2 linked regions of the Saccharomyces cerevisiae S288C genome follow. The protein of the gene in region 2 purifies or fractionates together with the protein of the main gene of each other region. This does not show direct contact. Each region holds a gene or a part of one and is shown on either strand. Other genes may lie near its edges.

Region 1 (3,802 bases), on a different chromosome or scaffold from region 2:
TTTTCGCATCTGGAGCAAGGATGAGGGAAATTTTGACTAGCATCGCATTTGATTTTGTGCTGTCTACAATGTGTACATGAGGTAACTGGTCTATGGTTGATTTGATGACTGTCATCATGGTGAGATATTCGTTGTTTCTTACTTGGGAACTGGTGCTGTTGCAACTGTTGCTGCTCCGGTTGTCTTTTCATGTGAGCAGAACTAAAATCTTGGTCTTGGTCAGAATCTCGATTATCCTTCACCATGACGAGAATGCGTATACGCAGAGCCAATATAATCTGTATACGGGACCTTTGACATTAAGGTTTCTGCAGAGAGTTTATTACATGCATTTTCATATATATATTTTTAACGCCATTCCTTTACGGTATGTAAAGAAAAATGATCCAATGAGCGGCCCTTCGTACGAGATGAGATATAATAAGAATGAAAGATAGATAAAAGTTTTAGTTAGAGATACTTCATATACCTGTATATAGTAAAGTCGTTTATTTCAAAGCTTATTTCGACTTGGTGAATCTTAAATAGGGTTTAATTTCATTAAATTGACCAAATTTAGCCTTCGCCTCATCATTGGAGACAGAGGGAGGAATAATGACATCGTCAGCTGGCTGCCAATTAATTGGAGTTACTACGCCCTCCTTGTCAGTCAATTGCAAGGCGTCGATTACCCTTAACACTTCAGAAGTGTTTCTTCCGACGGTGGAAGGGTAGGTAAAAATCAGTCTAATCTTCTTCTTGGGATCGATGACGAAAACAGACCTCACGGTCTTCAGTGACCCATCATTGATATTTTTGAATCCTTCGGCATCTACCATATCATATAGGAATGCCACGTTTCTAAAAGTGTCACCAATTATTGGGAAACCAACATTTTTAACCTTTGCTATTTCCTTGATGTCTTGAATCCATTTTTCGTGGGACTCAACATCTTCCACTGAAAGCCCGATCAATTTAACATTTCTCTTGTCGAATTCCGGCTTCAATTTGGCGAATGCGCTGACTTCGGTGGTGCAGACAGGGGTGAAATCTGCTGGGTGAGAAAACAAGACCCCCCAAGAGTCGCCCAAGTAGTCGTAAAAATTGATTTTACCAACCGTTGTGTCAGCATCAAAGTTAGGAGCATCAGAGTTTATTCTTAGTCTTGGTTGATCACTTTGTTTGAATTGTTTGCACAGAATAGGTGCTGTGGCAAATGTTTTAATCGTCTGTGATTGCAAGTGAGCCTGCTTAGGAAGGGTCCATGCCGTCCTCTTTAATTGAGCGCTACAAATTCTACTAAACATCCTTTGCTTCCTGCTTCTTTGAAATTTATCTCATCCTACTGCGAGAATCTAGAAGCACAATTTTCTATATCTCTCCTTCTCTCTTTATATACCAATAGCAGCAACATCCGGCCCCTTGTTTCTTTACGTAATTAAAAATCTCCGGGGCTAGCTTTTGCCGGGGAACCCATCCCGAAAAAATTGCAAAAAAAAAAATAGCCGCCGACCGTTGGTCGCTATTCACGGAATGATAGAAAAATAGCCGCGCTGCTCGTCCTGGGTGACCTTTTGTATATTGTATAAAGATAAACATAGTGCTATCAGGAATATCTTTATATACACACGCATACTGAATGTGGTTGAAGTTCAAAAAATATCACAAACGTTAAGAAGTTTTACTGGTAAACATATAGACATAGTGGAGCGCTTGCTCGAGGTCAAATGCAGACGGATACGAGAGCGCGGGAGGGAAACCGGAGAAGGTCAATATGCCCATAATTCTTCTTCTTTGAGGTTGGCAATTATATATTGTATCTGAATTAGGCAAATAGAAAAGAGACCTTACCATTAGCGCCATCGTAGAGTCCCATTTCACCTTTTCTTAGTTCTTTATATATGTCTGCGTATGGCCCACATATGCGCGCACAGTGCGCGCCACCCTCTAAGAACGATAAACATAAAATAAACACATAAACAATCAACGACAGTTCGCGCTTCCCTCACTAAATATGGCGAGATAGTTAAACAATCATGGCTCGTTCTTCCTTGCCCAACCGCCGCACCGCCCAGTTCGAAGCGAACAAGAGGAGGACCATTGCACATGCTCCATCTCCAAGTCTTTCAAATGGGATGCACACTCTAACGCCGCCCACCTGTAACAATGGTGCTGCCACTTCAGACTCCAATATACATGTATATGTAAGGTGCAGATCGCGTAATAAGCGAGAAATAGAGGAAAAAAGTAGTGTAGTTATATCTACACTAGGCCCACAAGGGAAAGAAATCATTCTGTCCAACGGTTCTCACCAATCGTATTCGTCCTCGAAGAAAACTTACCAATTTGATCAGGTGTTCGGCGCAGAATCTGACCAGGAAACAGTGTTTAATGCCACTGCAAAAAACTACATTAAGGAAATGTTGCACGGGTACAATTGTACAATATTTGCATACGGTCAAACGGGAACAGGTAAAACCTACACTATGTCTGGCGATATAAATATTCTCGGTGATGTGCAATCTACCGATAATCTATTATTAGGAGAGCATGCAGGTATCATACCACGGGTTCTGGTCGATTTGTTTAAAGAATTGAGCTCCTTAAATAAAGAGTACTCCGTAAAAATATCCTTTTTAGAGTTGTACAATGAAAATTTGAAAGATCTGCTCTCTGATAGTGAGGACGATGATCCTGCAGTCAACGATCCCAAGAGGCAGATTCGTATTTTTGACAATAACAACAATAATTCATCCATCATGGTCAAGGGGATGCAGGAAATCTTTATTAACTCTGCACACGAAGGCTTGAATTTGCTAATGCAGGGTTCGTTAAAAAGGAAAGTGGCCGCTACTAAATGCAACGATCTTTCATCAAGGTCTCACACCGTCTTTACAATCACAACAAACATAGTTGAGCAAGATAGCAAAGACCATGGACAAAACAAAAATTTTGTTAAAATTGGCAAATTGAATTTGGTGGATTTGGCAGGCAGTGAAAACATCAACAGATCGGGTGCGGAGAATAAAAGGGCTCAAGAAGCTGGCCTAATAAACAAATCGCTGCTAACACTAGGCCGTGTTATCAACGCACTCGTTGATCATTCTAACCATATACCTTACAGAGAATCTAAGCTAACAAGATTGCTACAAGACTCTTTAGGTGGTATGACGAAAACATGCATTATCGCAACTATATCACCTGCGAAAATATCCATGGAAGAGACTGCAAGTACGCTAGAATATGCAACGAGAGCCAAATCAATTAAGAATACTCCACAAGTAAATCAGTCTTTATCGAAGGATACATGTCTCAAAGACTACATTCAAGAGATTGAAAAATTAAGAAATGATTTGAAAAATTCAAGAAACAAACAAGGTATATTTATAACTCAAGATCAGTTGGACCTTTACGAGAGCAATTCTATCTTGATTGATGAGCAAAATCTAAAAATACATAACCTGCGAGAACAAATTAAAAAATTCAAAGAAAACTACCTGAACCAATTAGATATCAATAATCTTTTACAGTCTGAAAAGGAAAAACTAATTGCCATAATACAGAATTTTAATGTCGATTTTTCTAACTTTTACTCGGAAATCCAAAAAATTCACCATACTAATCTCGAACTAATGAATGAAGTCATACAACAGAGAGATTTTTCACTAGAAAATTCTCAAAAACAGTATAATACGAACCAGAACATGCAATTAAAAATCTCTCAACAAGTTTTACAGACTTTGAACACTTTACAGGGCTCTTTAAATAATTATAACTCTAAATGTTCCGAAGTTATCAAAGGCGTCACCGAAGAACTAACCAG
Region 2 (6,454 bases):
TCTTTCCTCAAACTGTAACACCGAGTTTTTTTCCCCACCAATCGTGAATCCGATAGCATATACTTTTGTCTAGAAATTTCAATAAACAACAGAATAACGAAGAGTGCTAAGGGACAAATGCAAAACCCTCCGTTGATTCGTCCCGATATGTATAATCAGGGAAGCAGCTCAATGGCTACTTATAATGCCTCTGAGAAGAATCTAAATGAGCATCCTTCTCCGCAAATTGCACAGCCCAGCACGTCCCAAAAGTTACCTTATAGAATAAATCCTACAACCACTAATGGGGACACCGACATATCTGTTAACAGCAATCCTATCCAGCCTCCTTTGCCAAACTTGATGCATCTATCTGGTCCGTCTGACTATAGATCGATGCATCAAAGTCCTATACATCCATCTTATATCATCCCTCCGCATTCAAATGAAAGAAAACAATCAGCTTCTTACAACAGACCTCAAAATGCTCATGTTAGTATTCAACCTTCCGTGGTATTCCCCCCTAAAAGTTATTCCATATCTTATGCACCTTATCAAATAAATCCCCCTTTACCAAATGGACTTCCGAACCAGAGCATATCTTTGAATAAGGAGTATATTGCAGAGGAGCAACTATCAACCCTCCCATCTCGCAATACCAGTGTTACTACTGCACCTCCTTCTTTTCAAAACAGTGCTGATACCGCTAAAAATTCAGCTGATAATAATGATAATAATGATAATGTAACCAAACCTGTTCCTGATAAAGACACCCAACTCATAAGTAGTTCAGGCAAAACTTTAAGAAATACTAGAAGAGCTGCTCAAAATAGAACCGCTCAAAAGGCATTTAGACAAAGGAAAGAAAAATACATCAAGAATCTCGAACAAAAATCAAAGATATTTGACGATTTACTAGCAGAAAATAATAACTTCAAATCATTAAACGATTCATTAAGAAATGACAACAACATTTTAATAGCTCAGCATGAAGCTATAAGGAATGCAATTACTATGTTAAGAAGTGAGTATGATGTCTTATGTAACGAAAACAACATGTTGAAGAATGAGAATAGTATAATAAAAAATGAACACAACATGTCAAGAAATGAAAATGAAAACCTAAAACTTGAGAATAAACGCTTCCACGCTGAATATATACGAATGATCGAGGATATTGAAAATACTAAAAGAAAGGAACAAGAACAACGAGATGAAATAGAGCAACTAAAAAAAAAAATAAGATCCCTGGAGGAAATAGTAGGGAGACACTCGGATAGTGCCACGTAATACAATAAATAGGGAGCAGATATTGATCTCTAGTACTGGAAGATCAACTTTTTGCTTTGGCCTTATAGGTCATATAAATTTTAATAATTAATGTAACAGACAAATCAAGGTGTGATTCTGTTCTGATAAAATTTGTTATTTTCCAGAATGTTCTAGAAGTGTTCTTTCATCTAATGGCATCGCGTTTGAATAGGGGGTGCACGGACTTTTTTTTTTGAATAAACCCCTGTGATTCATTGTATCTAAGCTCATCAAACCCCCTAGTTACTGACTCACGCACACACATATATATACATATATATGCATATGTAAGCATGAAAAGTTTGACTTCTATTATCTATTCCAGGAACCCTGAAACAAGCGAGTGAAAATCTTTCAAGGTTAAATATGTTAAGACAAGCTACAAAAGCACCAATACAAAAATATTTACAGAGAACGCAACTATTAAGGCGAAGTACTCCACGAATATACACTATTGTACAGTGTAAAAGATCTATTTGCAGTTTTAATGCAAGACCTCGAGTAGCCAATAAACTTCTATCAGATATAAAAACAAATGCATTAAATGAAGTCGCTATTTCAACCTGCGCCCTCAAGAGCTCATATGGATTGCCCAATTTCAAAAGAACGTACGTCCAAATGAGGATGGATCCCAATCAGCAACCGGAAAAGCCAGCTTTAGAACAATTTGGTACAAACTTGACAAAATTAGCGCGCGACGGTAAATTAGACCCTGTCATTGGCAGAGACGAAGAAATCGCAAGAGCTATTCAAATTTTATCAAGAAGAACAAAAAATAATCCATGTTTGATCGGTCGAGCTGGTGTCGGTAAAACCGCCCTTATTGATGGGTTAGCTCAAAGAATTGTTGCTGGGGAGGTCCCTGACTCGTTGAAAGATAAAGATCTAGTAGCTTTGGATTTGGGATCTTTGATTGCTGGCGCCAAATATAGAGGTGAATTCGAAGAACGTTTAAAAAAGGTTTTAGAAGAAATTGACAAGGCCAATGGTAAGGTTATTGTTTTCATTGATGAAGTTCATATGCTGCTTGGCTTAGGTAAAACTGATGGTAGTATGGATGCTTCTAACATCTTAAAGCCAAAACTGGCCCGTGGGCTACGTTGTATCTCTGCAACCACTCTTGATGAATTCAAAATCATTGAAAAAGATCCGGCTTTATCGAGAAGGTTTCAGCCTATCTTATTGAATGAGCCGAGCGTCTCCGATACGATTTCTATACTAAGAGGTTTAAAAGAAAGGTACGAGGTTCATCATGGTGTAAGGATCACTGATACAGCTTTAGTGTCTGCTGCAGTTCTTTCAAATCGTTATATAACAGACAGGTTTCTACCTGATAAAGCCATTGATCTAGTTGACGAAGCTTGTGCTGTACTACGTTTACAACATGAATCCAAACCGGATGAAATACAGAAACTGGATCGTGCTATTATGAAAATACAAATAGAACTGGAATCTTTAAAGAAAGAGACCGACCCTGTTTCCGTGGAAAGAAGAGAAGCGTTGGAAAAGGACCTAGAAATGAAAAATGATGAATTAAACAGATTAACAAAAATATGGGACGCTGAAAGAGCTGAAATTGAATCTATCAAAAATGCTAAGGCAAATTTGGAACAAGCAAGAATTGAGTTGGAAAAGTGTCAGAGAGAGGGTGATTACACTAAAGCATCCGAGTTGCGATATTCCAGAATTCCTGACTTGGAGAAGAAGGTAGCTTTAAGCGAGAAGAGTAAGGACGGAGATAAAGTAAATTTACTTCATGATTCAGTTACTTCTGACGATATTTCTAAGGTTGTTGCCAAAATGACTGGTATTCCTACAGAAACGGTGATGAAAGGCGACAAGGACCGCCTACTGTATATGGAAAATTCTTTAAAAGAAAGAGTCGTTGGCCAAGACGAGGCCATTGCTGCTATTTCTGATGCTGTACGTCTTCAAAGGGCTGGTTTGACCAGTGAAAAGAGACCTATTGCCAGCTTTATGTTCTTAGGTCCTACTGGTACTGGTAAAACAGAATTGACCAAGGCTTTAGCTGAATTCCTATTTGATGACGAATCAAATGTGATTCGTTTTGACATGTCAGAATTTCAAGAGAAGCATACTGTCTCTCGTTTAATCGGTGCACCTCCAGGTTACGTCTTAAGCGAATCTGGTGGCCAATTAACTGAGGCTGTCAGAAGAAAGCCTTATGCTGTCGTTTTATTTGATGAATTTGAAAAAGCGCACCCCGATGTTTCCAAACTACTGTTGCAAGTGTTGGATGAAGGTAAGCTGACCGATTCCCTAGGCCATCATGTTGATTTCCGTAACACGATCATTGTGATGACCTCAAACATTGGACAAGATATTTTATTAAACGACACAAAGTTGGGTGATGATGGTAAGATTGACACCGCAACCAAGAATAAAGTTATCGAAGCAATGAAAAGATCCTATCCACCTGAGTTCATCAATCGTATTGATGATATTCTAGTTTTCAATAGGCTATCCAAGAAAGTTTTGAGGTCAATTGTTGATATTAGAATTGCAGAAATTCAAGATCGTTTGGCCGAAAAAAGAATGAAAATTGATTTAACTGATGAAGCGAAGGATTGGCTAACTGACAAAGGCTACGATCAATTATATGGTGCAAGGCCATTGAATAGATTAATTCATAGACAGATTTTGAACTCCATGGCAACTTTCTTATTAAAAGGTCAAATTAGAAACGGCGAAACTGTTAGAGTGGTGGTTAAAGATACTAAGCTTGTCGTGCTACCAAATCATGAAGAAGGCGAAGTTGTTGAAGAGGAAGCTGAAAAGTAACTGCACAAGCGGTTTATGAATAATAAATTCCCAAGAAAATACATATATAAACATACACATTTCTCTTTTGTAAATAGAAGAATTAAAATAAAAGATTTTTGGTATCAAATAAACTGGATGAATGTTACATGTACCAAGTGCCCTGGCAATACAATAAAGCTATTGGTCTGGAAGTATTGATATTATTCAAATGTAATCTTCGAGAGTTACTGCGGGTAATACACACATGTGTCACATATTTTTCTCTCGAGTATGAAAAAATTTCATTACCTTTGTAAAAGCTTAATACGATCATTTCAATATGACTAGTAATAAAGGGGAAAGTTTGCGAAAATGGATGATTTTTCAAGAGATACCGAAAACTTTGTTTGCTGGTTAAAAACTACCGCTGAAATTGAAGTATCCCCTAAGATAGAAATCAAAGATCTTTGTTGTGATAATCAAGGCCGCGCAGTAGTTGCCACTCAAAAGATTAAGAAGGATGAAACATTGTTTAAAATACCTCGTAGTTCTGTTTTAAGCGTTACAACATCTCAACTGATAAAGGATTATCCTTCTCTCAAGGATAAGTTCCTGAACGAAACCGGATCGTGGGAAGGTTTAATTATCTGTATACTTTATGAGATGGAAGTTTTGCAAGAAAGAAGCCGATGGGCGCCTTACTTTAAAGTTTGGAACAAACCAAGCGATATGAACGCGTTAATTTTTTGGGATGATAATGAACTGCAACTTTTAAAACCATCACTTGTCCTTGAAAGAATAGGAAAAAAGGAAGCCAAAGAGATGCATGAAAGAATTATTAAATCAATCAAACAAATTGGTGGAGAATTTTCACGTGTAGCGACGTCCTTCGAGTTTGATAATTTTGCCTATATTGCAAGCATTATATTGAGTTACTCCTTTGATTTGGAAATGCAAGATAGTAGTGTAAATGAAAATGAAGAAGAAGAAACCAGTGAAGAAGAACTTGAAAATGAGCGCTACTTGAAATCGATGATTCCACTTGCTGATATGTTGAATGCAGATACCAGTAAATGCAACGCTAATTTAACTTACGACTCTAACTGTTTAAAGATGGTTGCTTTGAGGGATATTGAAAAGAATGAACAAGTGTACAACATATACGGAGAACATCCAAATTCGGAACTACTAAGAAGATATGGGTATGTTGAATGGGACGGTTCGAAGTATGATTTTGGAGAAGTGTTACTTGAAAATATTGTCGAGGCGTTAAAAGAGACTTTTGAGACGAATACTGAATTTTTGGACAGGTGTATTGATATCTTACGCAATAACGCCAATATTCAAGAATTCTTAGAAGGTGAAGAAATAGTACTAGATTCATATGATTGTTATAATAATGGTGAATTGTTGCCTCAACTAATACTTTTGGTCCAAATCTTGACAATTCTTTGCCAAATTCCAGGTTTATGCAAACTGGACATAAAAGCAATGGAAAGGCAAGTGGAGAGAATTGTAAAGAAGTGTTTACAATTGATAGAAGGTGCCCGCGCCACTACAAACTGTAGTGCCACATGGAAACGTTGTATTATGAAGCGTCTAGCCGATTACCCCATAAAAAAGTGCGTTTCTATCGAAAAACCTTCGAAAGGAAACTCATTAACAAGGGAAGAACTAAGAGATGTTATGGCTCGGAGAGTTTTGAAAAGCGAAATAGATTCGCTGCAAGTTTGTGAAGAAACCATCGACAAGAATTACAAGGTTATTCCTGATGAAAAGCTGCTAACTAATATTTTAAAGAGAAAGTTGACAGAGGAAGAAAAAAGCTCTGTCAAACGTCCTTGCGTGAAGAAGTGAGCGGTTGTTCTAACCACTATTTAAAGCCGCAATTAGTAATGCAAAAAGTTGGCCGGAATTAGCCGCGCAAGTTGGTGGGGTCCCTTAATCCGAAAAAGGACGGCTTTAACAAATATAAACTCCGAAAATCCCCACAGTGACAGAATTGGAGAAACAACCAGTTTTGATATCGCCATACATATAAAGAGATGTAGAAAGCATTCTTCACTGTAATGTCCAAATCGTACATTTGAATTTCTTGTAGGTTTATTTAAAAGGTAAGTTAAATAAATATAATAGTACTTACAAATAAATTTGGAACCCTAGAAGATGTCGAAATTGGGACAAGAAAAAAATGAAGTAAATTACTCTGATGTAAGAGAGGATAGAGTTGTGACAAACTCCACTGGTAATCCAATCAATGAACCATTTGTCACCCAACGTATTGGGGAACATGGCCCTTTGCTTTTGCAAGATTATAACTTAATTGATTCTTTGGCTCATTTCAACAGGGAAAATATTCCTCAAAGGAATCCACATGCTCATGGTTCTGGTGCCTTCGGCT

Evidence for each region. Proteins that work in one complex are often made in the same cells at the same time.
Region 1: the proteins of HSP78 (region 2) and PRX1 purify together in Saccharomyces cerevisiae (affinity purification with mass spectrometry; 3 studies listed by BioGRID, with this or other methods). This does not show direct contact.

Annotation. Positions count from the first base shown.
Region 1 is NC_001134.8:99,871-103,672, forward strand, and holds PRX1 (thioredoxin peroxidase PRX1), read right to left. Parts: upstream 1,287-3,802; coding exon 501-1,286; downstream 1-500. Other genes in the region: SEF1 (Sef1p), read right to left, coding at 1-245; KIP1 (Kip1p), read left to right, coding at 2,016-3,802. UniProt on the Saccharomyces cerevisiae protein: Thiol-specific peroxidase that catalyzes the reduction of hydrogen peroxide and organic hydroperoxides to water and alcohols, respectively.
Region 2 is NC_001136.10:969,446-975,899, reverse strand, and holds HSP78 (chaperone ATPase HSP78), read left to right. Parts: upstream 1-1,656; coding exon 1,657-4,092; downstream 4,093-6,454. Other genes in the region: YAP6 (Yap6p), read left to right, coding at 118-1,269; RKM4 (ribosomal lysine N-methyltransferase), read left to right, coding at 4,426-5,910; CTA1 (catalase A), read left to right, coding at 6,220-6,454. UniProt on the Saccharomyces cerevisiae protein: Required, in concert with mitochondrial Hsp70 (SSC1), for the dissociation, resolubilization and refolding of aggregates of damaged proteins in the mitochondrial matrix after heat stress.